2 linked regions of the Struthio camelus genome follow. The protein of the gene in region 1 interacts with the protein of each later gene in a biochemical or structural test. Links are inferred from orthologs where the notes say so. Each region holds a gene or a part of one and is shown on either strand. Other genes may lie near its edges. The genes, in order: ANXA1 and S100A11.

Region 1 (15,671 bases):
TTGGAGTAAAAATCTAAGCTTACAAGAAAATACTCCCAACAAAATGCATCATAAAAAACAAAGGATGACTATTTATACCTAAAATATTTTTTTCTCAGATGTTTGTCCAATCTATTAAAGTTCCTTTTAGTTACTGTGTTTCTTTCTACTTAATGTCCAACTGAAACTCCTTTCCCTCAAATTGGAGTTCATTGCTTCTTGCCCTACAACCAAGTTACAGTTTTCTGCAGACTTCTGAATAAATGCTTCCGAATAAGGGCTTAAGGGTTTTTGCATTAGCAGACTAACAAACCCACTTTTCAATCTTTCACCAGAAGGCACATTCATTAGCCTTAGGATTGTTCAGTTTTCTGTTTACTTGCTAACATGCTTCACGTATTTCTTGAAATGACATGCTTAAAGTGAGACACAGTAAATAAACATTGCAATACAGTCACTTGCTGTGGCTGAAGTAAAAGTCAGTGACTTGCTGAGCTGTGGAAACTCAGTCTGGTTTTTCTAAAAATTCACAAAATATTTGCAAATCAAGGAGTGATTTTACTTAGGAGAATTTCACTTATGCCACCATCCCGAATATTTATGAGGACATGCACAAACTTCCCAAGTAGTCACTAGAATTAGAATATACACATTCCTAGGTTGGCAAAGCAGCTTTTGAAAAATTATTAGGTTTATTCAAAACTATACTTATCCATTTGTGGAAACAATATGTATTCCATACTTTTGTTACTTGTACAACGTAGCTTTTTGGCATGTTTTGTGTATCAGTGAGATATTTTTTCCTTGACTTTTGTTTATAGCTAAGAAGCTTAACAATAGACGATTATTTTTTCCAAAGTCAGACTGTTAACACAGTATTTGCTTGGCTCCACCCTTCCACTCTCCATAACTGTGTTCTATAACATAACACAAGCACTCCGAGCTTTTCAAAATATATATTATGTCTTTAAAGAGTTACCTTCATCCATTGTCTTGGTCTGTTTCTCAGGGCCGGTGTTTTCCACAGAGGTGCGAATTAAAGCCTGGTATTTTCTGTCAGCCTCCTACGCTACGTATATAAATATTTATCTTTAAAAATGCAAGAGCTTCGCTAGGCAACAAGATACCTGTAGAAAGTAAAATGGGAGATAAGGATCATGTTTCTTCTTCTACTGTTTCCTGTGGCTAGCAACTTCTGCTCTGTCAGGAAACTAAATCTTACTAGATGAAACTCAAAGTTGTGGAAGACAGCTATAACTGAAAAGAATAGAGGCATATGCTATATACCAGAAAGCACAAACACTCACAAGATTAAAAGTGTTTCATGAAAATATTTACAAATATCCACATTTCTTTGTTTCAGCAGAAAGAATGTGAAATATGACACTCTTGCTACATATCCAGTAGTGATGAAACTAGTAAAACTCTAAGGAGTGTTTCATGCAATTTCAGCCCTAATTTCACAAAAACACGGTTATTAAATGCTTCCAGATGTGAAACTGGTATTCTGTTAGAACATAGTCTGTCCTATTTGGGAGGATTGCGTTGTACTCTCTCCCTTCTTTGGTTTATGAAGGTAAAAAACGTATTTATCACTGCCAATAACATTATGCTGAGATTAGTCTCAGCTCATGAAGTTGGCAGGTTGTTTTGAACTATAGGGCAAATATTGTGTTCTCTTGGAGTAAACTAGGCACATGCCTTATGATATGTTCCTATATTCATATGAACAACCCAGTAGCAGGAACTGGGAGAAGCAAGTCCTAGCCAGCAGCTGCAAAAGCAAATATAGAATAAATTTTTCCCAGGCTGACGCGGTCCAACCTTTGCTGCCATTGTTCTGGACCCCACCCTTATGTCAAAAAGGATTAAAAACAGGAGGCCAAAAGTGAGGCTTTTCATATCCCTAACTCCACAAGCAGTTTCACCATCCGTTTATAAGGAGCAACTTTGTGGGGAATCTCCTTCCAATTAAGACACAACTAACCAATTTGTATGACTTGTTTCTCTGGTGTCCTCTTTTGAATACATCATAGCTTCACTGCGCTGTGAGGAATAAATCATGGGACTAGATAAAAGGCCTCCCTGAAAGACTGTCCTTTCCTTATTTAAAAAGAAATTTTTGTGTTATTTCTTTTTATGACAATAAAAATATTCAGGAGTCCTTTTCTTCTTTTCCCCCCCTCTTTTGTCTCTTGCTGCAGGGAAAAAATGGAGGAGAAAACTGAAGAAGGGCAAAGGAGAAAAGGCAAGAGAAAAGTAACCTCTGAAGAGCTGAAAATGTTTCAAAAATTGCAAATGTAACAATAGAAACCTATATTTGACAGATCACATTTCCAGAATTTTTTGATAGAAATAAAAGTATATACAACTTAGAATTAGCACTGCAAATAGTGCTAAAACCAGAAACTGTTAGGTTTATGTCAGGTTTCAACTTCCATTTTTCAACATTCATTGCCATGTCCTTTGTGTCTGTCACTAAGCATTTTAGGAGTGAATAATAGCCTCAGTCCTGAACTAGCAGCTGACTGTGCTCGTTACTAAAGAAACACATTTTAATACCACTCCTTTCAGTATTCTTTTCTGACTCATGTGTTCTTGCTAATACTATATTAAAAATAATATCTGCAAACCTTCTTTACATTTTTACTTAAATCACCCTTCATAAAATGCCATTAATAATCAATTACAACATAGGCCTTCCTTTTTAAAATCACTACCATGTTGGGACTCAATATTTCACTCTTGCCTACAGTGTTGTGTTATGGATAATAATATTTTATGCATAATTTTGAGAAGGCAAACTTCCAGGGCTGGGAACCTCTTCTTCCTCTACCGATATTGCCAATCACTATGATTCTTTGAAAAACCTAGTAGTAGCAGCAGCTCCAGGGATAAAAAACCTGAGAGGGTTGGTTTAGTTTAGAACTGGGCCACCTATGACATATCACATCTGCACCTTTCCCCTTTGAGGAAGTTCAGATGCAAATCAACCACTGAGTAACGAACCGTACCTTTGGGCACTTTTACAATGGGACAAATTGCAACAAATACAAACCTGCCTTGAGGTTTCTTCTCTTCCAAATAGAAACAAGCCGAAGTCCTTTAAAGTTTCTTATGAATAGCTATGACTGAACTGTGTTGTTGTCCGTTGTGCTCTGTGCAGTATTTTTCCCCAAGCGGTAACAGCCATGAAGCAACTCACTCTAGAGTAAAACTGAAACATAAAAACAGGAGATTTCTGTTTTCTGAGCTAGAAACACAACAAGCAATTGCCTTTCAACATCTGAATGTAGAAGTCTGGAACAAATATCCCTGATGCAAACTCTTTTGTTGAATGTCAACAAAAGTATTACATTTATATTGAGGAGAAAACACATAAAATGGCGGAGGCCTGAAAAAGTACATCTTCACATGGAATATATCTGTTTAGTTTTTTTTTTTTTTTTGTATCTATATCCTTTTTCTGCGAAGGTTTGAGGGAAAGCCCCATAAAGATCTACATTTTGTCTGAGAAGAAACTATTTTAATCTTCTGTGGAAGCTAATCACTTTTACAGTCACTGACTAACTGAGAAGATAGTTCTGTGTCCTCTGCACAGAATTTATTTTGGCAGGCCAATACTCAGTGAAATAATAATACCCAAGATACCTTGAATAACGTTTGCTAACCTTGACAGTTCCCTGTTAATAATGGGAACAGCTAGGACCATGTATGACAAAGAGAAAATTGAATGCCAAGTTTTCTCAACCTTCTCTTGACTGTTCTTACCACGCTCTGAACATAGACAATAAGCAAACATAAGCTACTATTATTCACTGATCATGTCATTCCTGTTTTTCTAAGGGTAGTAGGAGCCACGCCAGGGCTGGGACACTCCAAACAGGCCTCAGCCTAACTGAAGTGATTCTGAAGCTTTGACATGTGATAATTGTTCCTCACTGTATTTATGGAGTAAGATATGTTTTTTTTAACCTGGATTGCTACCATCAATGTATGCAAATAGTGGTACGTGTTTCAACACAGAGAAACGGCCAAGGCAGAACGATTTGCTTACAAGAACCTTGGAAATGTTTTATATATTAATTTTCCTTAAAGGAAAAAAGAGAACATGGAAATAGCAATACAGTTGTGGAGCTAACTTGGAGGACAAAAACATTACCTACATATTGCAACATCATAGACTGTTTATCTGCTCATTAACTTTTTGCTAGTTAGTGTTGTCTTTCATTTCTTTGAGGTTACAAGAACACTATTTTTTAGCTGGGTTTCTACTTCTGGTGAGATGCAGAGCACTATTTACCCAGCTTTCTCGGCTCAGGGGAAGACATTGCCTGGTTACACCTCTCCGAGACCCAGTTGTGGCAGGCCAGCAGCTTACCTTACTTTTGTCCACAAAAAGAGTTTTTTCCTCCACGAAGGCACTAAGCTGTTCACAGCAGTCATATATTGTTCTATTGCTTAAAATAAAGCTCTGCCATTTGTGTTCCCTTTTCTTGAATGCCACTTCTGATGTGCCCCTCTGATTAGCATTGCAGATACTCAGCATAGGCCAGAGGCCAGTAAAAGGCTGGTATGCTCACGCTTCCTTGTCTCATCCATCTTCTCACTGCATGTGCTCTGTGTAGTACCTTCCTCACTGAAGTACCACCTTCATGGCAACAAAAAGGGGAAAGAGTAAAAGACCTGGGCCTGGAGTACATGCGTATAAACTTCTGAGTACTTTCATTGTTCTACTGCAATTCCAAAGAGGGTTTGTGTAACCAGGGTTTCCAAACCTTTTTTCCTAGAGGCTTCCTAGAAGGCTCAGATTTGTCTCATATAAATTACTTTGGCACACAACCATAGTGGAGTCTGGGCTTCTACCTGGAAGGCATTCTGACAAGTCAAGAAAGCTTCTGGAAATGTTTCTCAATCTGCATCCCTAAGATGAATTCCTGGGTCCACTGAAATCAGTAACATTGCTCTAGTTTATTTAAAGTGAATGGGATTTCTAGTTCCACAGGTGATGCTGAGATGTCATCACTTCACATATAGCTAAGCTGCGCATTCCTGCTACAGCATGGGCTGGTATTTATTTCATTATGTATGGGACAGTTTACTAACTTTTTGTGTTTTCTGAATAGCCAAGCTATGGTTTACAATGAGAAACAGAAAATCTCTTTATACTTCTAGAAATCTCTTGAGCTACAGAAAGGTATTTACTGCAGCTAAGTGAAGAGTAAGTATTAGACCTATTTATGGACAGAAGGTACATGTGCGATTCAAGTACAGAATTCCTCCTGCCAGAGGATCAATGCCAATTCAGTATTTCATGAGACACTAACAAAATATTGGCTAATCCAAGGTGAAAGAGAGAGATGAATGATAAATATGTTGTGCAAGGCTAAAACAAATACAATGAATCCCAGCTATAAATATTCCTCAAAAATATTCATGAATTAATTTGAAATATTATCGATACATAAATGCATGCTTTGCCTGTTTTCTCCCATCTTTTCCCCTTTGTAAATTGCAGAGGGCAGCAGCTGAAACGTGAACTAAGTGAGAAATAATGCATCGATGAAAGCAAATCCTTTAACACAGCAGCCGCTGTTTTGATTACCTATCTTATACATACGCGCCCCCCACCCCTCCCCTTCCCTCCCCTCCTATTTTTTTCTTAGAGCATGGAAGTAAAAAGAAAAATCTGTGTCTGGATTTGAAGTCTACACTACTGTATACTACCCAGGCAAACAGTTAGTTAAACTGTATATTTTCATGATCACAGCACAACTATACATGGACCTATCTAGAATCACAAAGATTAGATGCAAATGAGCAGATGAACAACAACAGATAGGGTTGCTGTTTTATCTGAAACTGAAATTTAATCTTCTGTAATGTCAAAGTGATGAAGATCTGAGAACGCACTATACTTCAATAAGCAGGAAAGATTTTTTTCTGAACAACCTAATAGAGATACTCTTCCTAAAACAGGAATTTGTACTTTGCCAAATATGCATTAGTGGGGGAAGTCCTGGGTTTGCACTGGAAAGTGTTGCCAGAACCTTTACTGCCTTTGTTAGTACTCATACAGTGCTGACATCATATGTATCTGTATCATCTGTATTAACTGTATCTGTTACTTGAAACCTGAGTATAGCTGGTTGCCCTTCAGGCTCTTGCTGTCTAAGGAAATGGAGTAATACATTTCTCGGCAGTTTCACGAGGTGTGTATAAAAGCTAGTGAGAAGGAATGAAGTCACAGGGTGCAAGACAGAGAGGTGGCTTCCAGCTTGTTCTGGCTTGCTATCAGCTGGTCCCAAACGGATGACTGACCTGGTGGGAAACAGGCAGAGCTCTATTTTCTGACTTATTTTATTATCTGACTCAGTACACTCAGGCGCTCCTGCAGGACAATGCTATTTCAGAACAATGCAATGTGTGAGCATCAGTTTTCACTTAACATTTATCTCATGGGTAATCTGAAGGTGATCAGTACAATGGGCTTCCTCAGCTGAGTGTAGGTAGAATGATCCATTTCCAAACCTTCCCAAATATAGGTCCTCTTTACGGCATTCCCACTGAAATGCACACAGAAGGGCATTTCTAAGGCAGGGGAATCACTGGCCTCTGAAACAGATGTAAGGGCTCCTGTCTTTCTCCCAGACTCCAAGAAATTCCTGTGTTATTTGGCTTTCACCAGTGCTCTATAGGATGACTGGCTTGGGGAAACTCTGTTTGCCCATTTGAGCTGTTATCATAAGCCTCAAGGCAAATATTTGGTGAGGCCAAATTTGGTAGTTTATCAAAAAGTGCTATTCTTCTCTTGCTCTGTTTTTACTCTGAGTGAGTACTTTTCCAGTTCTCACAGGAACAATTGTATACTTTACTAGGTGACTATTATATCACAATACTGATGCTAGCAGTATCTGAGGCATGTTGTTTTGAGTGTAAAAGTAAAAAAAAAGTTTCTCTCATTTCTATTATGACAGTAGCTCCATGCATTGCATCTTTTGCATAAACAATACCAAATCCTGAAGCTGTTTACAAACTACTACAGCTTTGTGAAACAAATGATGGAGTTACTGTTAAACAGTTAACAATAAATGCTTAGGTTCTCTCCAATTAAATTGCAATTTTTAAGTGTAAGACTACTATACAGTAAAGGGCTCTGATGACTCAGTCTGATTTCAGGAAGACGATGAGTCAACATCTCTGCCCATTAGAAAAGAGAAAAAGCAATTGCAAACAGCTCCTGAAAAGAAATGCAGCAAAATGGCTTCATCTCAGCTCACTCCGAAAGCTGAAACACAGGCTTGAAAGACTAAATACATAAAACAAGTAAATAAAATAAAAGTAGAAAACTACAGTGACGAAAACAGCACATTAGTCCAACTGTTGAGAAAGCAAATTAAAAAAGGTTTGAGCTGGAAGAACGTCTTACTAAGTACTTCTAACACACTGTTTCCTGCCCTTACAGGCCTCTAGTAAATGCTGCTGTATTATTTTCATTACTCAGAAAATGCTAGCAACTTATAAGGAAGCTCTGAGTCTGCATAACTTATCTTTCTAGGTTATTTCCGGCCTTCGAAAGACTCAGCAAGGAAAACCAGGATACAAACATACTTCCAGCTTTTCAGTGTAAATGGATTATAATTAGTCATGCTCATTAACAGGCAAGGGAAACAGTTCCAGAAAAAGAGTGTAAACACAGTTTTTGGCCAACATCGGAAACCACTAAAGGAATAACGTTAACTTCATACTGACATGGACAAGGTCAGGAAGGCAGAAGTAATCTGACTTTCGCACAGAATAATTAAACAAACAAAACTCAATGCAACCTGACAGCTTGCTGACAATATCAGCGTTTAAACTGGCAGACCCCTTCAATTATTCAGCTGTCTGAAAACACCTGAAATACTAATATATTGCTAAATAACACATGTAGTGCGGAGGAGAGAAGGAAGGTGCTATATGCAGGAGAAGACTGTTGTCCTGGCGCTGCGGGGGCTCCTTGGGGCCAGGGTTGGGGGCTGCCATGGGTACCCGTCCCCCTGCCCTGAGGGAGCAGGGCACAGGAAGGTGCATGCTTGCTGCACCACATACTTGATTAAAGAGAAGAAACAAAAAAAAGAAGAAGAAGAAAAAAAGAAGCAGCCTGTTTCCAAAGTTGAAATAGCCCTTTTGTGAAGCAAATTGAACATAAGGGTGCTGTAATGAAAGCATTTGCAGCAGGTGGCTCCTCTTACACTGCCCTGCAGTCTGTGCCCCTCCCACCTCATTTCATTAACTGCTAAACGCAGGGCTCCAGAAAAGGCTGTATTTCATGCAGGTTTATCAGAGGCACATCAGCCCTACTTCACCTTTCTACTGCTGCCAGCGTTTTGCAGCAGGTCTGTATCAGCTGGGCAGATAGGCCAAGCTGTTAGTTTCAGATGCTTCCCCTTCTGAGACTGGTACTTCTTCCCGGGGCAGCGCGAGCTGCGCCCACCGGAGACGCGTGCCATGCGTGCGCTCGGCGCTGTGCCGGAAGTGCTCTGGAAGGGGCGTTTGGCCAGCGTGATGAGGGAAAGCTTGTGGATCACCCCTTCTGGCAAGCAGGCCAGCACCCTCTGAACTTCAGGGTTTAAGCCAAGTGGTTCAAACCATTTTTAATTATGCAAGTACCTAATTCTTCTTCTCACTTCTGTTAAGCTTAGCAGGTCCGAACTGCTACCTTTCCCAAAAAAAAAAATCGTAAAACCCCCCAGTGCCCTTTTGACATAGTATAGGGAGATTCGTTTTTGGAGGTGTCTTATTACTGAGGCAACTCTGCTGTGAATTCATGGCCAGAAGCAGAGTTAATAGCTGCCAGAGCTCAGTAAAGCCAAGAACCTGCGTTAACTCTTTTCCACTCTACTTTTCTTTTTTTTTGTTGTTAATTTTCACTGGGGAATGAGATGTCTTAATATATTCACTTTTTACTTGTATAAGAGGTGTCAAAAAGTCCAGGAAGTAATTAAAGCTTAGCTTTTGTCTCTTTAGTATTTTAATCCAATAACCTCAAAAGATTTATGGAAATTCACTACAGTGAGGGCTCTGATTGTGGAGACTGGAACCTACCAAGGCATGCTCATGAGTTGTCTTTTCCCCTATGTAATCTGCTCCTGCTTCCTTCCAGCGCATGGTTTTGCAATGACTTCTTTTGTGCAGTTCTGTGTGTTTTGGACAATACCCCAATTTAGCCTGTAGCAAAGAGCAACCAGTTACTGGGGCTGTGGAAACACTCTGGTTGCTAGGTGGGGCGTGCTGCAGAGCACTATAAAAGCCATAGCAAGGCCACAGCTCTTTTCTTCTCGGCTGTACCCTCCTGAAAACTAACGTTTGTGAGGCAGAAGGTAGGTTTTTGTAGTTCTTTGTTGCTCTTTGTAGACCCGACAAGCTTTAAGAGTTGTGTTTCTCAAGTGACCTGGTGCAATTTTGTACAGGCTGGATTTGTTGCCACCAGAAAAGAAGGGTATAGGCAGAAGAAATTCTTTCAGTTTTGAAATATTTCATGTACATGGAGGAGTTTACACAATAACTGCTTTTATTTAATGCACGCGAGGAGTTGAAAAAAATAGCTTAAATGATTAAAAGTAAACTTACTGGAGTTTACTGCTTCCTGTGCTTTCATTTTCCCCTTTGTAGTAGGCTGCTGTAGAAATCTGTTTGCAGCAAAACTGGAATCACTAGGAAACGAATGTGCTTTATATGGGAACTTAAAATGTTTTTAAAAGCAGTTGCTTTAACCTCAACAGCAGTTCCCTGCTTTGGGAAAGTAGATCAGTCTTTGCTCGTGAAAATGATGAAAGTGAGACAAAAGAACCTTTAAGGAACATAACAGCAAAAATCTGCTCTGTAGCTAAAAACTTGTGCAAAGTCACAGAAGTAAGGGCTGTATAATTTGGGATTGGTTCTGCTGACACTTTCCACTGAATTTTCCAAGGGCGAGGCTGTTTTCCTCCATGATGTTTCATTTTTATCCACTGGACTTTGCAAGCATAAAAGAAACACATAGTTGTTGTAAAAGAAACGCCTGCAACTACTGCCTGCTTTTCTGACAGGGTGTTATGATCTTAATTTACATCAAAATTCTGGTAATTAGCATGGGACTGTAATCAGAGATGATATATTTGATGTGTGATTAAATAAGGATAGAGAAATGGCAGGGATGAACTTGATTTGACTCCTCTATAGCTGAGGGTGTCGTGTAAAAGTTGGAGTCTTTAAATATGTTGAATAAATAGGTAGTATTTATTTTCTGAAAACTTTTTAGAATTTAAACATGTCAAATTCAGGGGCACTTCTTGCAGGGAGTGGCATCCAGACTGTAACAAACTTATCAGTCATTCCTGTAAAGGAACATTTATGACTTTCAGTCCAAATCTCCTTTTTATTTGTCATTCCAAATGCAATAGTAATTATTCCAATTTGGACTGATAAAATGGATGATAATCATAATATTTTTCAAACTGAAAAACTTTAAATTCCTATCTCCTTTTAACTGGGATGTCTAAAGATTCCAGTTTGGGTCGTAGGGCACACAGTGTGTACAATATTTTATTAAACAGAATAATTTTGAATAGCTATGTGGTGTAGATATATGTATATTTTTTTCTCCTTGTTCATAGACTTTTAGGAGAAAGTATGGTAGAAAGCCAGTAGTTCATTCCCCCCTCTTCAAGATATTTTTTTTTTGTCTGAATTTATCTCTTTTAAACCTAGGCTGTGCTTAACATGAGCTGTTTGCATTCTAGAGTGGCAAGGGTCAAAGCATTGGGAAAGGCCCCTACTCTGCTAGGGGGCTGGCTGTTTTTCCCCTGGATTCCTGCAATCTTTTTGTATTAGTCATGATTTCTTATAAAGATAGCAAACAACAATTTTACATGTAAGCTGGTTTCATAACTTTCTGAGCCAGTGTAAGCAGTCTTTAACATTTCTCAAGAGCATTTGTCTACTTTAGCTTCTTTTTTAAGTTATAATACTGTTTGTTTACTAGATGGAAGCAGATGGATGTACACGCCAAAGTGTCTTTATTTAAAAGGCAGAAAAAATAAAGGTTTTGTTTTTAAGCCACATAATTCTTCCACTGTATTTCTAGTTTAAATTTGAATAGGCATAAAGGCTTAGAGGCTTAATGAACCACAATGCAGTGCAGGTTAGCAGCCCTCTGCTTCAGTCATTGCCCTGAGCAGCAGGAGCTCCAGAGCTGGGTGAGGGTGTGGATGGGGAGAGGCAGAAGGGTTGGGGAAGTAAGTGGTTCTCCCTGGGGCCAGCCCTGCCAGCTTCCTTCCCGATAAATGTTAACGCTGTCAGCCCAAATGCAACTTTGGTTCTACCCCTTGGTAGATCTGGTGCTATGAAACTGAATCTGGCTTATTAAATTTAAATTGTAACCAAGAGTACAGTCTGCAGACCTGTTAGCAGACAGACATACCTGTGTGCGTCACTGCCGGTGACCAGGCACGCAGCGCTCAGCCCAGAGGCTATAAAATGTCATCATCCTGCTGCAAACAATCTTCGTTGTGCAGGGCAATTGCCTGTTACAGAATACAGCAGGATTTTAGATACCACAACACTTCATCTGGCCTCATGCACTTCAGCTATCAAAGCAAGGGTGGTACAGGAGTCACTAGATCGTTTCGACAAAATACTGTTTTGGCAAGCAACATAAATAACCTTTTCTGGTCTTCAGACCGGACTTCTGAGTAAGTTACACATACCTGAAAGTTGGTCCCCGTCCTTAAACTTGCACATACTTTAAGTGATGTATAGTAACAGGATCAGAACCAGCTTCAGGTTTTTCAGAAGCAGGGGCAGAGCTGAACTTTGTGCCCTCAGGGCTGAGGGAAGGGCAGAGAAGCAGGAATTTGTTGGCAAAGGGTGGAGCTGGGATGGGGAGCTGGGATGGGGAGGCAGCTCTCTTTGCTGACAGCTGGACCTGGAAATGTGCTTTACAGCTTTGCTACTGGTAAAAGGAGCAGCTTGACTGCAGCCGTGTTGCCTGGCCCTAGGAGGGAGTCGCTTTAGATGACTGCTCCTTTCCCAGGGCCATTCAGCACCGTATGGATCACAGGGCATAAATAAAGCAAGGGCGTTTGCTGCACAGTCAGCATTGGTTATAATACTTTTGCGTAAGATCTGCCTTATGTGATCTGTACCTCAGGAACTCCAGTAGGTTCACATACACACAGCTGCAAACAGTGTTTGGTCTTGTTACGCTAGATGCGTGAGGCGTTATTCAAAGATACCTCAGATTAATAGGCTGTGTTATCTTTAGTTTATTGTTTATATGTGTGCTTTAAAACCTAGCCTTCCCAAGAGTTTTCTGTGGAAAAGTGTGTTTTGATGAAAAATCCATTTGGCGCAGACAACAAATACTTTACCTGATAAAACGTAATCTTTTCCACTCTATTCCCTCAGTGTTTCTATTAGGAAACAGAATTTTCTCTGCACCAAGGTTGTTGCGAAGCAGCCCATTCATTACCATTGAGTGCTTGGTTTCAAATCACTTCTCCATTGCTTTTTTTCCTATTTTGCATGACATCTTGTGGAAAAGCTGGCCTGATTTGCTTTTGTAATGATGAAAAGCAAAAATTTTTTTTAACTTCCTGCATGGATATTGCTCTACTCTTCAGTAGAAATTGGAGAGTACATGTGAGAAATAAGCAATGGTGTAGGTGAAACTGTCCACTTCTACTCATCTTTCTTAAGAAAGGGCTATTCATAGAAATTAAATGAGGGTATGTTTAACAGGGGAATATCTTTTTGCTTAACACAATACACAAAAGCTCAGAACTCAGTAAATGATCATACATGAATACTTGTTTATCACTGACTTTGAACAGAATTGAATATTCAGTCAGGTATATGGACCTTTGATAAGGGAGAAAGACAATTTGTTTCTTGTAACTTTCCTTTGAAAGCCAGTGCTACCACTTAGGTATTACCGTACGAAATGAGCAAATAATCCAATTAGTTTAGTATTCTATTTCTAATCTAAAACTTGTGGAAGCAGCTAAGGGTGTCTGGATGATCAGGCAACTGCAAAGCATTACATCATCTGCTGAACATCATAATCAAAAGTTAACTGCTTTCCAATAGCACAAACCAATTAATGCTTGGGAAGTTAACGCCTATGTTTCATAATTCAAGAGAAAAGACTTTGCAGTGGGAAAGCTTGAGATGCACTGGCAATGAAAATGAGAAAAAATGGTTTATAATGTGATGCATCTTTTCCAGAAAGTCCATCAACATGGCTATGGTAGCAGAATTTCTGAAGCAGGCATGGTTCATGGACAATCAGGAGCAGGAATGTATTGTAAGTATTATAACCTTTTCAGAGCATCATGCTTATGGTCAAGTACTTTTAGAAGTGGTTTAAAGCCGTAGGCCAACGAACATCTTTCATAGACTCGGAAGGGAGGAAAGACGATGGCAAAATTCTGCTGATTAGAATTAGAACAGGATTTTGTTATAACATACAGTCTAAAAAGTCTCTGATAGCATTCTGATATCGGATAAAAAAATATTCTTGGGTGCACATTTCAGTGCCTAGTTGCTAGTTTATAGACAGAGCCAGTTACTGTAATGAAACTGCTGTTTCCACTGGTCAGTCGTCGTTTGACTCAAAGTAAAGTAGTAATCTGATGCACAGGAGTGTGAATGTGTAAGAACGTGTGCAGATGACGTATGTGGGGAAGTTAGAGGTGCTTAGACTGAGGTTCAGGAAGCCATGAGTTGGAGCCCAGGAATGCAAAGGAGGAACTAATGCTCCTTGTATAAATACTGGTTTTCTCACCATATGGCATGCTTAGGGTGGGAAGAGTCACTGTATGTGATAAAGCATCTCAAGTGATTGGTAGTGATACTAACTGGAAGAAATCTGAAGGAAAGGCTGACGGTGATGAGAAATTATATGTTAGTGCACTAGGTGGTTCCGGAGTGTCTTTGTGATAAGGAAGCTGATTAGGATACTGACAAGGCTGTCGGCGCAGGTAAAGCAGCACGCTGTGAAGTCGTGGCAGATTCTGAAAGCAACTTTCATCTTGGAAAAATAAAGTATAAGAGGGAATTTCAGTAACAAACTTTTCTGCTTTAGATCTTCTTTGTGGACTTTCTGATTTTTGTCCGGCACCATATTATGACTAATCCCTTGGCTCCACATCTCAACCCCCTTGTGCTCGCAGGGCCTTGAGTCATTCTAGCTACAGTGGTTACAGGCAGTTTTTTATTTAGCTACTAGATAAATTTGTCATGGAAACTAGCACACAAATACTAATCTGGCTAGCCTGGGATCCAGGCACTGAGCTAGACCTATTCTTCTGTTGGCTTCCACAAGTCACAGTGATTTTTTTTTTATTTTTTTTTAAGTATGCCAGACACTTCTTTAAGTATGCAATATCTATGTTCTGTTTAATACAACTCCTGGTGATAAAATTGTGGAAAATGTAACTAACAGATATTACAAGTATGCAAAAATTCAGTACAGAATGCTGTATGTGAAATATATATCCCTAAGACGTTACTGTTCGTCTTGTGCTAATTAACTTGAGAGGCAAAAGATGAAAAAATATTCTGATAGCGTATTATTGAATATAAGACAAAGAGTACAGCTGATTCTAAGAAAGTTTAGCTAAACTGCTGTTGTGTTCTAAAAGGTCTTATAATATTTCACGCCAAGTGGGATTTTCTTTAAATATTTCATCCAAGAATCTCAGAGCATTTTTTAGCTGCTGTCAAAGAGGGTAATGAGGAGAACATTGGTTATATAGTTCTGCCGGGGTGTGGGCCCTACCAGTAACTTATTTTGTCATGTTGACTTAGGTCAAAGCACATAATGTGTCATGTGGTGGAATTCATTATCCCCCAGTTATCCCCGGGTTCCTTTAGGAGGAAAAACCAATGCATACGTCATACTGGGTCTTTTAAATTATATGTAGCTACTAGACTCAGAGTTCATTTCTTCACAGTGGTATAACAGGCAATCCTGAATGCAAGGATGATTTAGGTATGTAAAACTGCTTCTTTGCATAAATATTCTTTGGAATGAGTATTTTTTTTCTCCCGGCAGAAAAGTTCGAAAGGTGGCTCTCCAGTCCAGTCATACCCTAACTTTGAACCATCAGCTGATGCTGCTGCTTTGGACAAAGCAATTACTGTCAAAGGTAAGAGGAGTGAAATATTTTAACACATCACATTGGAATTCTTCCTTAGGAAAATTTGAGCATAGCCCTGGATAAAATATCAGTCACAGGCAACGATAAGCAGCAGAGATGCAACCACTTTCAAAAGCCTAGCAAGACATCAAAATTACGCCACCTGGGAAAGCATCTGAACTCTTTGATAACCTGGCATTGTATTACAATTTCAGACCTTAATACTATGTTAAGCTCCCTGCATGTGTTGAAGGATGTGTAGTAACAGTTTAATTTCCAGAGAATCAAAAGGAATATTATGACACATGAAGCTAATGGTTTTTGATTTGATTTCCATAAGAAAAAACCTGAGAGAAGTAGTGGATATGCTGATACTGTATTATATGCTTCTATTAGGCTTCTTGCTTGAATTAACAGTAGGCCAATGTGGCTGTAATGTGAAACCTTTTTCAGTCTGTCTTGCTAAGATTAAATGAGTATGTCATTTAATGCTGTTTATTTTACTTAGTTATGCTGTGGTGTAGGTTT
Region 2 (14,667 bases), on another chromosome or scaffold:
CTGTTTCAGACTTTGTGTTAACACTCAGCTGTGAGCACAACACAGGAACTTGTTATGGGAATGAGGGGTGATGAGAGTAGGTAGGGCAAACGTGTGCACGTATGCAGTTCTTGTAATATGTTTCTCTTCCCTTTTTGTAGGTGTGGTGTAACAATTCTCAGCTTCCTGTTGATCACATCCTGGCAGGCTCCTTTGAAACAGCAATGAGAGTAAGTTTCCCCAGGAGTTCTTGGGGAGGTTGGAGGGGAGAGCTTGCCCTTGTGCCCAGGTGTTCTTCTCTCTGATCTAGTCTGAAGCTTCATTTTGTGTCCTTTTGTGAATCATTTCATGCATGGTTTTCTCTGTTTATGAAGTAAGAGCCTGAGTGTTGATGTCTCTGCAGTCTCTGTAAAGCCCTACGCGTCTTTTGCTCAGCAGATTAATGTGTCCCTTTCAGCTCCTTCATGACCAGGTAGGAGTCACAAACTTTGGCCCCTACAAGCAGCTGTTCCTGCAGACCTTTGCCCGTGGCCGTACAACCTACCAAGCCCTGCCTTGTCTCCCTACCATGTATGGATATCCACATCGCAACTGGTAAGCAATGGGGCTAGCTCCTTTTCTGTGCTCTTTGCCTTGTGCCGTTTTCCTCCCTGGCACCTTGGAAGTTCAGTTGTAGCCAGAATTCTTCTCCCTCTCTTCTGAAGGGAGGAGCCTTCCTGTTTGATGGATGTAAATAGGGAGTATTCCATATTTAGTGGGATTTTTCTGCTCTTGTTAGATGTAGAGACTTGAAAGGACTGCCTCCCTTTTTAGAGGTTGAAAACAATGTGAGGCACTTGAGATGCTGGTTTTTCTAGCTCTAATACTTTCCCTCTGGCAAAGCTAATCTGAAGCTAGGACATCTAGAGAACCACAAGTGTATTTTCTATGGTGGTGGCTGGGAGTCACTGTAGAAAAATGAGCCTTACTTTCCAGCTTGTGTTAATGCAGAGACAGCTGGGCATTGTGGGAGGCAGAATTGTGGAAGCACAGATGCCGTTGGTGCTAAGGTGAGACAGACACCGTGGTCCTAGGTCAAAGTGTTGCTGACAAGTTGCAGTTGAGCTGTCAATGTAACGTTGGTGTGTTCTGGATGCCCTCTGTCCTTCCCCAACACCTCTCTGGTGCTCCCAGGAAGGAAGCTGGCTTGAAGAACGCCCTTCCTGCTGTTGGACTGAAACTCAATGACCTGATCCAGCGCCTGCAGCTGTGCTACCAGCTCACTACGGCTGGCAAGTTTGAGGAGGCTGTGGAGAAGTTCCGCTCCATCTTGCTCAGTGTGCCCTTGCTGGTGGTAGACAACAAGCAGGAGGTTGCTGAGGTGAGGGGCAACTCTTTCTTTTGACCATGCCCTGCATCCTCCAGGGGCCGGAGGCCGAATGCCTGACTCCCTGTGTCGCTCTCTCCAAGGCCCAGCAACTGATAGCCATTTGCCGGGAGTATATTGTAGGGCTCTCAATGGAGACAGAGCGGAAGAAGCTGCCCAAAGAGACCCTGGAGCAGCAGAAGCGGATCTGTGAGGTACAGAAGCTCCATGAAATTCTTCGTGGAGTGGTTGGGAGGAAGCTGGGGAGGAAAATAGCCTTTTGGTTTAAAAAGGCACTGGGAATCATGAGTTCTGCCATTTCTACCATTTCCTCTTACGTGGAGTTGTGCCTCGGTTTTCTACCTTTAAAGCAGATGTGGCCGTGATCACCTGGGAGGGTTTGGTATGTTTCTTGCACTTTTTCAGTGCATCCAGTTTCTCACTTGGTTGGTAGTGACTGTATCTCTCCTTTTCCTCCTTCTCCCTAACACAGATGGCTGCCTACTTCACCCACTCCAACCTGCAGCCTGTCCACATGATCTTGGTGCTGCGCACTGCTCTCAACCTCTTTTTCAAACTCAAAAACTTCAAGACAGCTGCTGCCTTTGCTCGTCGGCTGCTGGAACTGGGTCCAAAGCCTGAGGTGGCGCAGCAGGTATGTCTGTGAGGTGCATGGCCAGGAATATAACAGAGTGCTCTCTGTGTGCTTTGGAATGAGACCTGCTTGATTCAGAGAGGACTAACTATTGCTTCCTGCAGGGATAGGCTGAGGCTTTTGTGATCAGGGCAGAAGTGCTTGCTGATGGGAAGGGAGAGGCATTGAGAGGAAGCACCCTGGTTTATGCTTGTTGCCAGTTGAATCTGTTCCACCTCCTGTGGTGCACTTTATTTGGACTGCTTTGTTGCTCCCCCTCTGGTCAATGTGGTTGCTTTTTGCAGACCCGCAAGATCTTGTCCGCGTGTGAGAAGAATCCCACTGACACCTATCAGCTCAACTATGATATGCACAACCCCTTTGACATCTGTGCTGCCTCTTACCGGCCCATATATCGTGGCAAACCTGTGGAGAAGTGTCCGCTCAGTGGAGCCTGCTACTGTCCTGAGTTCCAGGGACAGATCTGCCGTGTCACCACAGTAAGGGAGTGTAAACGTCTGTAATCGTGCACTCCTAGTCCATGATGCTTCCCTTGAGAATTCACTCCAAAGATTCCCCTTTGCGCTCCCTAGACTGACTTGGCCTGGGTTTTGGGTCTAGAGTTGCATGTCTGAGGACTTGGCATGCAAGGAGGAGCAGTTTGGGAATTGTGTAATACAATGTAGTTTAAATCCTACCTTCAGGGACTGACCTTGCAGTGTTCGGCCGTGTGCGTTCCTGAGAACTCCGTAGGCTGTGAACACCACATGTGGGGTTGGGTTGTTGAGCTGCTTTCAAACATTAATCATCTCCCTTTTATTCCCCAGGTGACAGAGATCGGCAAAGATGTCATTGGGCTGCGGATCAGCCCACTCCAGTTCCGCTAGGGCCCTGCCCTGTCCTGGGGAGGTGAGAGGATCAGAGGGAAATGGTCCCGTTTCACAGCACAGTGTTGAAACTTTTACCTCCCATCATTCCGGCTTCTAGTCAAATCTCTTCACCATAGTTGTGCCCGTGCTATTGTCTTACATACGCTTCCTCTCCTAGGAATGCTGTAGTGAGACTCTCCGCTGTTTTTGAGCAGTAGCAACTTGAGAGTCTGTTTCCAGATCCAGTTGATGTGACATTTCTATGTACTATTGCCTCAGAGCTACAGTTCCCCCTCCAAAGCCCAGTCTTTTTCCAGAGGGCAAAGGGTGGCTTTTGCTGAGACCTGGGTACCATACAGTGCACACCATAGAAACTACTTGATAGGCAGTGACTGGCTCTCACTTCCTTTAGAGTTGGGACTCCTGAAAGAAGTACTCAACCTGCTGCAGCTGGAACGGCAGGAAGAGCTGATCTGGCTCTCACTGGAGTGGGGCACTGTCTGGACCTGGGGCCAGCACAGGACCTGACGCAGAGACAGCTCTGCTCCCTTTGGAAATGATGGGAGAGCAGCTCAGAATCTAACTGCTATTGTTGACTTTTTTTGGTTCTGCCAGCTTTTTTCAACATTCTCTACTTCTCACATGAATAAAATAAATTGACCATCTTGATCCGCCTCTTTGGTAGCCCAGTTGGTCTTACTGAGATAGAATGGATGTTGGATTTCATTTCCCCTTTTCATATTTTTTTCCAACCATCTTGTGCTCTTAAGCTACCAGCTTTGGAGGGTTTTAAAGTTCCCAGAAAATGGAGGCTACATTGCTGAAATAATTTAGTATGCTGGCAGGGGGTGCTTTCATTAATTATTAGTGTATAATTGCTCTTACCAGTGCTCAAATTATCGTTACTTGTAATGCTCCTGTCTTCACATTTACCTTGTGTAGTTGTACCATTTGCAATTACTGTGCCCTTCCCCATGATATTTAACAGACTGGATGATCTCCAAGGTCAGATGAATTGTAGTTTTCAGCAGTTACAAGACTGAAACATGTGCAGTTAGGGACGCTGTGAGGTTGAGGGGAAAAGACCTGTGTTCTCACATCAGTGGAGAAGCAGAGGAGAGGAACAAGAGATGCTGGCTCCCTCAGGTGTCTGGACTGGTTGTGTAGTGCTTCCCCCTGCCTTGTGCTACAAAAATAATACCATGCCTTATGCTAGGATTTAAAACCTTTATTTTATTCAGAAAAGGGGGAGTGGGGACACCCACGTTTCAAGGGGACTACTTCCAGCGTTGTGTGGTACTTGCTCACGACAAGTCCACGGTGACGGAAGAGGCAGAGCTGCCTGGGCTAGCGGCGAGGGGCCTGCACAACCAGGGTATCGTGGCATGCTACTGCAATGCCCCCAATGAGGTTCAGGAACTCCTGGAAGTCCAGCTGCCCGTCACTGTTCAAATCAAGTTTCTTCATCATTCTGTCCAGGACAGCTGGGTCCTTCTGATTCTGCAAAAGATCAGGGAGTCTGCTATCAACATCTGCTTAGAGGCAACGGTGCCCCTTGCTGTTATCTGCCAAGGTATGAACCCTGCAGCTACTGAATTTTAATTACCCTTGGAGAGGGGTTGACAGAGGGAGACAGAACTCAGTGGGGGCAACTTTTGTCAGGATCTACTCTTGCTTCTGGCAAAAGTGAGTTCTTCCCACCACTCACCCCACATTTCTTGTGAGAATAAAGGTTTTAACTGCTGTCCTAGGGGCTGAAGTACACAATGGAAAACTCCTGGAAGGGTCTGGCGTGGGTTTTGCTCACCTTTGTGAAGGAAGCCAGCTCACTGTTCATGAAGGCAAGGAACTCTCTCTTGGAGAGCGTGCAGTTGTCCCCTTCGCGCCCTGCATACCGCTGGAAGACAGCCAGCAGGGACTCGATGCAGCGTTCGGTCTCTGTGGGTGACACCTTTGACTGAAGGAGTGAGAGCAAGTTTAGGCTAGCCCTTGAAGAGAGCTCTTTGCTTGCAGAAAAGAAGCAATGTTATTTCTAGAGGAAGGTTGGGGTGAGGGGGACCTTGTGCAATTGCTCTCCTGGAGGAGTCTCCTATGCCCAACCTATTCAGCTACATTTTTCTTTAGTGTTCTTCTAATGCACAACACTGTGGTGAGGAAGTACCCAGGGGAGGGATGGGGTGTGAATCATGCTGCTTTGGGATTCCTGGGCTCTCTAGCATGGAAAATCTCTTGGGGAGGGGAGTTGCCCGGAAGAGGAAGAGCTCATGCAGTGAGAACGGCTGCTCCCTCAGCCTGGAAGAGCAGCTAGTTTTTTCAGTGCTTTCCAACAGGACTGGGCTACGCCTGCTTTTCTAGAAAGATAAGCATTTCCCCCTTTCCCTCCTCCTGCCCTCCCTGGACAGAGCAGAAAGTCTGAGTCAGAAGACAAAAATGCGAGCAGTGCTGGCTCCCTCAACTGCTCGCTTCTGGGACCTGCAATATTGCGATGGCCGGGGGGACGGGGAGCCAGAGGGTGAAATGCTGACCTGGCCAGGAGGGAGCTGGGCTGGCTAGGGCTGCTGCACTGGGGACACCCAGGGAAAAGGGAGGGGGACAACATAGGCCCTAAGCTGAGCTCCAGTCTTTGGGAAAGGGCAGCGCAGGGGAGAGTTGGGAAGAATCTGCCCTTCCCTCTCTAACCTCTGCATCCTGGGGACTCTGTGGCCACATCCTGCCCTGCCTGAGGCTGAATTTAGCCTTTTTTGGTTGATGTGAGAGAAGCCAAGTCGCTTCCGCCCTGGGCCCTGCTTCCTCAGTTCTTGGCTTTGCCTGCGCCCCCTGCCCCGGGGTCTGGTGGAGGGAGAGATGCAGCCCTGACTCCAGGAATGGGTATCAGAAACACGAGCAAGAAATAGAGAGAGAGGGGAAGGCTGTGGGGGGACTGCAGGGGGACAAATGCTACCTCCTGTTCCCCTACAGCTGCAGGGACCCTCTGCCCCCTCCGCAGCACTGCACCCTCTTCTGGCTCCCAGGCCCTCTCCTAGGGAGTGATTTTAATTCAGCCCTTGGCACTGTCTCCTCTTTCTGATGCTAGAGCACGTTTCTCTTTCAGCTGCGCACAGAGCTCTAGGGCTGTTTGCTGGAACCACAAACAATCTCTTGCAATCTCCTTCCAGCTGTTACGGAGTGGCATCTCCCTCCCCTTCCCAGGGACCTGGCTCACTCACCATGGCTGGGGCGTGAGGAGGGGGCTCGATCCTTGGCAGGGGCTGCGGCGCAGCGTGGCACAGGCAGGAGCTGGGGCGGTTATGAGCCTCACTCTGGCTGCCACCGCCCTTCCCGGCAGAGCCAGCGTCGAGCCCTGACTCAGCCCCCTCTGCCGCGTTAGGCAATCACAGCTCTAACGGCAGATCTGGACGTGTCTGTGGTTCCCACCTGGGGCTCAGGAATGTGTGGGGCCCCTCCTCTGGGCTCTCTCATCCTCTTCCCTCTCTATGTGTTATTCTTTACAGTGATTTGCACTTTCGTTTTTCTCCTTCATATCTTTCAACCTTCGTTTTTCTTCCAGCCTGTTTTCTCCCCTCGGTTCTTTGTCGTTTGTCCCTTTGCAGCTCCCTTTCCTTCTCACCCAGCCTAAGGGCCCCCAGGGCTGCTTTGCTGCTACCCAGAATGTCCTCAGTGTTTTTGCTTGCGACAGTGAGGTTTAGCTTCCCCTGCTTTGCTAGAGAGGCACAGGTGAGCAGGCAGCTCTGCCCTGCCGAAGGCAGTGGGGACCTGGGGACAAGTACTACATAGCTGGGGCTGCTGGAAGGGAGCAAAGGACTTGCCAGGGATGTCAGACCCTGGGGACTGTCTGCATCCCTGCTCTTCGTGCTGACCTGTCCCACCTGGTGAGCTACGCTGATAATGTGTTTTAAGCTTGTTATATTGCAAAAGGGGCAGCTGCCTGTGCTGTTGGGTTCTCAGGGGCAGAAGGAGACCTCGCTGGGGCTGGGGTGCCGGTCTGAGCTCCCTACTGCAGCCAGCCACCCTCGTGCCTTATGCTGCTCAGCTGCAGTGAGAGCCTGTGCTGGCCACGGAGGGCTTAAAACGGGGAGATGCAGATGTGGAGGAGGGACACCCAGAAGGCAAGGGATGTGCTCACGTAGCGTGGAGGTGGGACGATCAGGGCTGTCGGATTTGCACTGCCATGAAATCAGCACGGTAGAGAGGAGAGCTGGGCTGAACCCTGGTGCCTGTGGCTACCTTTGCCCAGGGAGCAGGGCTGGTCCCGTGAGCAGTCCAGGGCCATGCCCTCATCCCCCAGCCGCCCTCCATCCTGCAGCCAGTGGGTGCTGGGGAAGCTGCTCAGACATGTTGGTTTATCTGCATTTACATAGCCACTGCGTAGTTACGGCACCCTTTTTCTCTGCTCCTTTGAGGTGAACATGAACATACCCCAAACCCTGCAGGTCGTGAGGGCCAGATTTTCCCCGTGACCACCAGCCCCAGATGGGGCCAGATTTCCCCAAAAACTTCAGGTGGAGCCTGGAGCAGAGTGGCCAAGGATAATGCAGGCAGCCATGACGGTGTGTAGGGAGTGGGGATGCCCTCTGGGCTCAGGGGCAGCTTGTAGGGATGGGGCTAGCTGGGAAATCTTGCTGGAGACTGACTCATCATACGGCAGGAGAAAGGGAAATCATATGAAGCACCAAATCTGGGGAAGAATCCTACTTCCTAATCTATTTTCCTTTCTTGCCCCAATTTCCTTCCCCAAACTATGTTTTCCATGTTTTGGGGAAAAAGTGCCTCCCCCATCCAACCTCTCCTAAGCCTGAAACATTTCAGTGCAAGTGGATCAAAAGGACTTTTCAAAGCAGGGAGCTGGGGGCAGGAAATATGTTGTTCTTCTCTTTGGACTTTGCGCTTCTTTCTGTGCTTTTGCAAACTTCTTTTTGTGATCCCTTAAAACCAAGATAAGAGCTGTTCAGATGGACCAGCATTATTTCCTGTTTTACAAGAGCAAATCCCAGAAAGGGCTCTGGCCTAGCCTGGTCCTAGTTGCAGCGTGGGGTTTGGGGAAGTTTCTGTTTCCTGCTGTTGCTGTGTGTTTGCAGTCGGGAGTTTGGCTGTGTTTGCAGACAGGCCATCTGTGCTGCCATATGTCTGTTACTGAGAGGTGCAACAGTCACGTGCATGAAGGGAGCATCTTGGAGAGTTGTCACCCTGTGCATCCGCCTGTCCCAGGTTGGGACAGATCCTTACGAGTTCCTCTGGCACCAGCTGTGTCTGAAACATTAGAGGAAAGCGGCTGTGCAGCCAGCCTGTGCAAGTGAGGAACCCCGTGCACTTCCTCCTGAAGCCACGTCAGGCTCTAATGGGCTTGAGATGCCCTTGCTCCTCCCATCTGGTGCCATTACCAGCCAGCAGGCTCTGACTTGTACAGCTCTAGTTGCGTTGCAGAGCGAGTCACAGATGGTGGCAGGGTTGTCCTCGCTTCTCCTTCCATCTTCTAGCAAAATCATAGCCCCATCTGCTGCTGAGGGAATCAGTTCCTTATTGCTCAAGGGAAAGGAAAATGAGTAAAATCTGATTTTCGTGAGGGAGGGCCGTGGACATATTCTCCAGTTGTGTGCACCATGTCTGAGAAACAGTGCATTTTCCAGGCCACGTTGCTGCCTCTCTTCTGCCCGAGGACCCGTGAGTGGTCCCAGACATGGGGCAGCCTGGGGTTAAGATAGGCAGATGCCTGTGGCCAGGAAAACGAGCATCTAGATAGCTCCTTAGCCAGCAGCAGATCTCCACTGCGGGCTTTCCCTGCCTGTGTCTGTCGTGAAAGCCAGAGAGCAAGGGCACATCCTCGCATGGTGAGGGCTATATGACCCACCATGAGTCTTAGATTATAACATATGTGGGCTGCTATGGGAGTTTTAGAGGTACGTGGGCTCCTAGATGTGTAGCTGGGTATTTGGAGGGATTTTCAGCAGATTTTTCATCTCTGTCTGAATTAAGATTAGGAGGGATAGGTGGTCTGAACTGGGACGCCCTCCCACCAGCCTGAAGTCTTTGAAGAAATTAGATGCAAGGTTGAAACATGGCAGCAGTCAGTGCAGTCATCAGCTATTTATTGTGATTTTTCATGCAATACGTCAGTGTGAAAAAGAAACAATCCCTCCCTGTACCCGACCCACCACCACCATTACCCTGTGGTAACCACAGCATAACTCAACTACTTCAAAGCCTCCTTGATACTGGAGCTGGGATTATGCTCAGCTGCTAGGAAAGCAAAAATGTGTAACTAAAAGCACTGAGTCTGCATTTAGAGGTGTCTTTTCCCAGCCTCAAGGATTTTCAGGCCCCAGAATGAATATGATTGAGATACTGGGATTTTTTTTTGCATTGCGCAGCAGAAGCTAACAAGCAGGAGAGCCTGCCACAGGGCTAAGGATATGTGAGTGCAGTGTGAGATACAGAACAGTGATGCCACAGGATAGCAGAGATGACAGGGATATAAAGGACAGAGATACCCAAGGAGTCCAATTGCAGTAGAAAAGTGAGTAAATACTGCACTTAAGGTGGATAGACATAATGCAAGAAAGCAGAAGTTACAGAAGCTAGCAGAAGCTAGAGAGTAGAAGCAATCCTCAAAGAGACTTGGGGAAGGCCCACCAACTACCTGGCAGAGACCAGACATCTCCCTAAGATGCCTTGACCTCATCCACACCGGGACAACTTGGTGTCTCCTGTGACCTTGGAGGGCTGGGAGGGCCCTGGCTCTGCTTGGTGCAAAGATGTGGTTCCTCTTCCCCTTGTGTCTGGGACTCGCTTGCTTGGCAGTAGCTCCTCTTGCTGTTTTCTTTCTGTTGCAGGTGGCTCCTCTCTGCATCCTGCTGACAGCAGCTGGCTTCCTCCCTCGGGGGTGGCTGCAGACAGGTATCTTCTGCAGCTCGCTGGCCTGACTTGCATGCTGGTGCCTGGTGCCCTCCACCTTCCCACAGCTGCAACTCTGGAGCCTGGCCTTGGGCCGCCTGGTCCTGGCTGTGTTCGGATGCCTTGGACAGAGGTAGGTGGCTTTTGGCCTCCCTCTCCTTGCACTCGTTCCCCTGCTGACTTGATTCCCCCCAGGGTGATTTGGTCTTCTGTGGCCAAGGCTGGCTTCCCTCCTTCCCTGGCGCTCGGGGCTTGCCCGCTGGGTGGCAGCTGGATTCGGGCTCCTGCAGGACCTGCTCTCCAGAGGCTTTCGATCCGCTTTCCTGTGGCTCCATTTCGGTATCGGGCATCCTTGAACACTGATTGTTCCTCCTGTCCTGTCTGAGTTCAGCCTTGCAAGGTTGATGAGGTTCACCCTTAATGCTATCTGATGGGGGCTCCTGACAAACCCCTTCCTTCACTTCTATTTCAGCCCTCTCGTGCTGACAGGAGCTTTTTCTATTCTCCTGCGGCTCATGCTCATGTGGCTCATTGAGGTCCCCTTTTCTTTCCTGGGGGCTGGAAGGAGGTGGCTGCTGGCTACTGCTCCTGTCCACACATGGTTCCAAAACACATGTGTCTTTGTGCTGCGGGGATTCAGGCTCCTGAGTATCCCCTGGAATTCTCTCGTCCTCACTGGGTTCTGGCTCCTGGCGACTGCTTCCTTCGCGCGGGACTGCCAGAGGCTGTGGTGACACATAGCATTTCCTTGCATAAACAGGTTGCCCCAGGTCATGGGGCTGGTAGCAGACAATCTCGTAGGTGGCTGACTGGGGATTGTTTAGCTTCTGGATCACGTGGATTAAGTATGCCACAGTATGAGGCTTGCAAGGCAGAGGGAGGAACTTGACGTCTGGCTGTACATCTAGCTCATCAGGAAGATAATGGATCCTCCTATCTGCAACAGACTCCAGCTCTGCTGGCAGGCTCAGGTGCTTCGTATCCAACTGCACTATTTGGAAGAGGCTCCTATCATCCCTTCTTCCTTTGCCCTCAATTGATGGGTACCTTTTAGGTTCATGCACTAGTGTTTCTTGCTTGTGTAGCAGTGTGCAATTCCTCTTGCCCTGGTGCTCTGTAGGCTCACAGGGGTTACTCTCTGGTGCCTCACACTGTAACCCATCTGGATGATGGTGGCTAAAAGTATAACACTCTTGTTCTGACTCACTTCTGTCACAAATGCTTCTCTCATGGAACTCCCTCTGGGTGCTCGCGGGAGCTCGCTCTCCTCTCTCCCGTGCCTGGCGTCTGCTGCTCTCGGAGACGTCAGCTGCGAGCTCGCGTTGGCGATCGATCCTCGCCTGGCCCGCTGGCTCTTCCAGCTCTCGTCCCCGGCGAATCCTCCTCTCGTCCTCTGCTGGTTCGCCCTCCTGGGAACGGTCCCTCCCTGCTGTGTCGCCACGTGGCTCCGGTTCGCGGGAGACACGGCAAACCCTCAGGTCTGCCTCGGCTGCCTCTTCTGCGGTCCGGCGGGTCCGTTCGTAGGCGCTCGCGGGAGCTCGCTCTCCTCTCTCCCGTGCCTGGCGTCTGCTGCTCTCGGAGACGTCAGCTGCGAGCTCGCGTTGGCGATCGATCCTCGCCTGGCCCGCTGGCTCTTCCAGCTCTCGTCCCCGGCGAATCCTCCTCTCGTCCTCTGCTGGTTCGCCCTCCTGGGAACGGTCCCTCCTTGCTGTGTCGCCACGTGGCTCCGGTTCGCGGGAGACACGGCAAACCCTCAGGTCTGCCTCGGCTGCCTCTTCTGCGGTCCGGCGGGTCCGTTCGTAGGCGCTCGCGGGAGCTCGCTCTCCTCTCTCCCGTGCCTGGCGTCTGCTGCTCTCGGAGACGTCAGCTGCGAGCTCGCGTTGGCGATCGATCCTCGCCTGGCCCGCTGGCTCTTCCAGCTCTCGTCCCCGGCGAATCCTCCTCTCGTCCTCTGCTGGTTCGCCCTCCTGGGAACGGTCCCTCCTTGCTGTGTCGCCACGTGGCTCCAGTTCGCGGGAGACACGGCAAACCCTCAGGTCTGCCTCGGCTGCCTCTTCTGCGGTCCGGCGGGTCCGTTCGTAGGCGCTCGCGGGAGCTCGCTCTCCTCTCTCCCGTGCCTGGCGTCTGCTGCTCTCGGAGACGTCAGCTGCGAGCTCGCGTTGGCGATCGATCCTCGCCTGGCCCGCTGGCTCTTCCAGCTCTCGTCCCCGGCGAATCCTCCTCTCGTCCTCTGCTGGTTCGCCCTCCTGGGAACGGTCCCTCCTTGCTGTGTCGCCACGTGGCTCCGGTTCGCGGGAGACACGGCAAACCCTCAGGTCTGCCTCGGCTGCCTCTTCTGCGGTCCGGCGGGTCCGTTCGTAGGCGCTCGCGGGAGCTCGCTCTGCTCTCTCCCGTGCCTGGCGTCTGCTGCTCTCGGAGACGTCAGCTGCGAGCTCGCGTTGGCGATCGATCCTCGCCTGGCCCGCTGGCTCTTCCAGCTCTCGTCCCCGGCGAATCCTCCTCTCGTCCTCTGCTGGTTCGCCCTCCTGGGAACGGTCCCTCCTTGCTGTGTCACCACGTGGCTCCGGTTCGCGGGAGACACGGCAAACCCTCAGGTCTGCCTCGGCTGCCTCTTCTGCGGTCCGGCGGGTCCGTTCGTAGGCGCTCGCGGGAGCTCGCTCTCCTCTCTCCCGTGCCTGGCGTCTGCTGCTCTCGGAGACGTCAGCTGCGAGCTCGCGTTGGCGATCGATCCTCGCCTGGCCCGCTGGCTCTTCCAGCTCTCGTCCCCGGCGAATCCTCCTCTCGTCCTCTGCTGGTTCGCCCTCCTGGGAACGGTCCCTCCCTGCTGTGTCGCCACGTGGCTCCGGTTCGCGGGAGACACGGCAAACCCTCAGGTCTGCCTCGGCTGCCTCTTCTGCGGTCCGGCGGGTCCGTTCGTAGGCGCTCGCGGGAGCTCGCTCTGCTCTCTCCCGTGCCTGGCGTCTGCTGCTCTCGGAGACGTCAGCTGCGAGCTCGCGTTGGCGATCGATCCTCGCCTGGCCCGCTGGCTCTTCCAGCTCTCGTCCCCGGCGAATCCTCCTCTCGTCCTCTGCTGGTTCGCCCTCCTGGGAACGGTCCCTCCCTGCTGTGTCGCCACGTGGCTCCGGTTCGCGGGAGACACGGCAAACCCTCAGGTCTGCCTCGGCTGCCTCTTCTGCGGTCCGGCGGGTCCGTTCGTAGGCGCTCGCGGGAGCTCGCTCTCCTCTCTCCCGTGCCTGGCGTCTGCTGCTCTCGGAGACGTCAGCTGCGAGCTCGCGTTGGCGATCGATCCTCGCCTGGCCCGCTGGCTCTTCCAGCTCTCGTCCCCGGCGAATCCTCCTCTCGTCCTCTGCTGGTTCGCCCTCCTGGGAACGGTCCCTCCCTGCTGTGTCGCCACGTGGCTCCGGTTCGCGGGAGACACGGCAAACCCTCAGGTCTGCCTCGGCTGCCTCTTCTGCGGTCCGGCGGGTCCGTTCGTAGGCGCTCGCGGGAGCTCGCTCTCCTCTCTCCCGTGCCTGGCGTCTGCTGCTCTCGGAGACGTCAGCTGCGAGCTCGCGTTGGCGATCGATCCTCGCCTGGCCCGCTGGCTCTTCCAGCTCTCGTCCCTGGCGAATCCTCCTCTCGTCCTCTGCTGGTTCGCCCTCCTGGGAACGGTCCCTCCCTGCTGTGTCGCCACGTGGCTCCGGTTCGCGGGAGACACGGCAAACCCTCAGGTCTGCCTCGGCTGCCTCTTCTGCGGTCCGGCGGGTCCGTTCGTAGGCGCTCGCGGGAGCTCGCTCTCCTCTCTCCCGTGCCTGGCGTCTGCTGCTCTCGGAGACGTCAGCTGCGAGCTCGCGTTGGCGATCGATCCTCGCCTGGCCCGCTGGCTCTTCCAGCTCTCGTCCCCGGCGAATCCTCCTCTCGTCCTCTGCTGGTTCGCCCTCCTGGGAACGGTCCCTCCTTGCTGTGTCGCCACGTGGCTCCGGTTCGCGGGAGACACGGCAAACCCTCAGGTCTGCCTCGGCTGCCTCTTCTGCGGTCCGGCGGGTCCGTTCGTAGGCGCTCGCGGGAGCTCGCTCTGCTCTCTCCCGTGCCTGGCGTCTGCTGCTCTCGGAGACGTCAGCTGCGAGCTCGCGTTGGCGATCGATCCTCGCCTGGCCCGCTGGCTCTTCCAGCTCTCGTCCCCGGCGAATCCTCCTCTCGTCCTCTGCTGGTTCGCCCTCCTGGGAACGGTCCCTCCTTGCTGTGTCACCACGTGGCTCCGGTTCGCGGGAGACACGGCAAACCCTCAGGTCTGCCTCGGCTGCCTCTTCTGCGGTCCGGCGGGTCCGTTCGTAGGCGCTCGCGGGAGCTCGCTCTCCTCTCTCCCGTGCCTGGCGTCTGCTGCTCTCGGAGACGTCAGCTGCGAGCTCGCGTTGGCGATCGATCCTCGCCTGGCCCGCTGGCTCTTCCAGCTCTCGTCCCCGGCGAATCCTCCTCTCGTCCTCTGCTGGTTCGCCCTCCTGGGAACGGTCCCTCCCTGCTGTGTCGCCACGTGGCTCCGGTTCGCGGGAGACACGGCAAACCCTCAGGTCTGCCTCGGCTGCCTCTTCTGCGGTCCGGCGGGTCCGTTCGTAGGCGCTCGCGGGAGCTCGCTCTCCTCTCTCCCGTGCCTGGCGTCTGCTGCTCTCGGAGACGTCAGCTGCGAGCTCGCGTTGGCGATCGATCCTCGCCTGGCCCGCTGGCTCTTCCAGCTCTCGTCCCCGGCGAATCCTCCTCTCGTCCTCTGCTGGTTCGCCCTCCTGGGAACGGTCCCTCCCTGCTGTGTCGCCACGTGGCTCCGGTTCGCGGGAGACACGGCAAACCCTCAGGTCTGCCTCGGCTGCCTCTTCTGCGGTCCGGCGGGTCCGTTCGTAGGCGCTCGCGGGAGCTCGCTCTCCTCTCTCCCGTGCCTGGCGTCTGCTGCTCTCGGAGACGTCAGCTGCGAGCTCGCGTTG

What was found.
Region 2: the proteins of ANXA1 (region 1) and S100A11 form a complex in vitro, tested with the Homo sapiens proteins (2 studies listed by BioGRID). The link is inferred for Struthio camelus from reciprocal best matches to the Homo sapiens genes ANXA1 and S100A11.

The regions. Positions count from the first base shown.
Region 1 is NC_090982.1:27,178,348-27,194,018, forward strand, and holds the start of ANXA1 (annexin A1), read left to right. Parts: upstream 1-9,112; 5' UTR 9,113-9,341; intron 9,342-13,227; 5' UTR 13,228-13,240; coding exon 13,241-13,306; intron 13,307-15,058; coding exon 15,059-15,152; intron 15,153-15,671. Other genes in the region: probable DNA double-strand break repair Rad50 ATPase, read right to left, coding at 959-968. UniProt on the Homo sapiens protein: Plays important roles in the innate immune response as effector of glucocorticoid-mediated responses and regulator of the inflammatory process. Has anti-inflammatory activity.
Region 2 is NC_090971.1:5,115,306-5,129,972, reverse strand, and holds S100A11 (protein S100-A11), read right to left. Parts: upstream 6,428-14,667; 5' UTR 6,037-6,427; coding exon 6,034-6,036; intron 4,785-6,033; coding exon 4,635-4,784; intron 4,328-4,634; coding exon 4,175-4,327; 3' UTR 4,041-4,174; downstream 1-4,040. Other genes in the region: COPA (coatomer subunit alpha), read left to right, coding at 141-209, 437-573, 1,153-1,339, 1,429-1,539, 1,818-1,979, 2,264-2,458, 2,786-2,845; trichohyalin-like, read right to left, coding at 9,484-14,667. UniProt on the Homo sapiens protein: Facilitates the differentiation and the cornification of keratinocytes.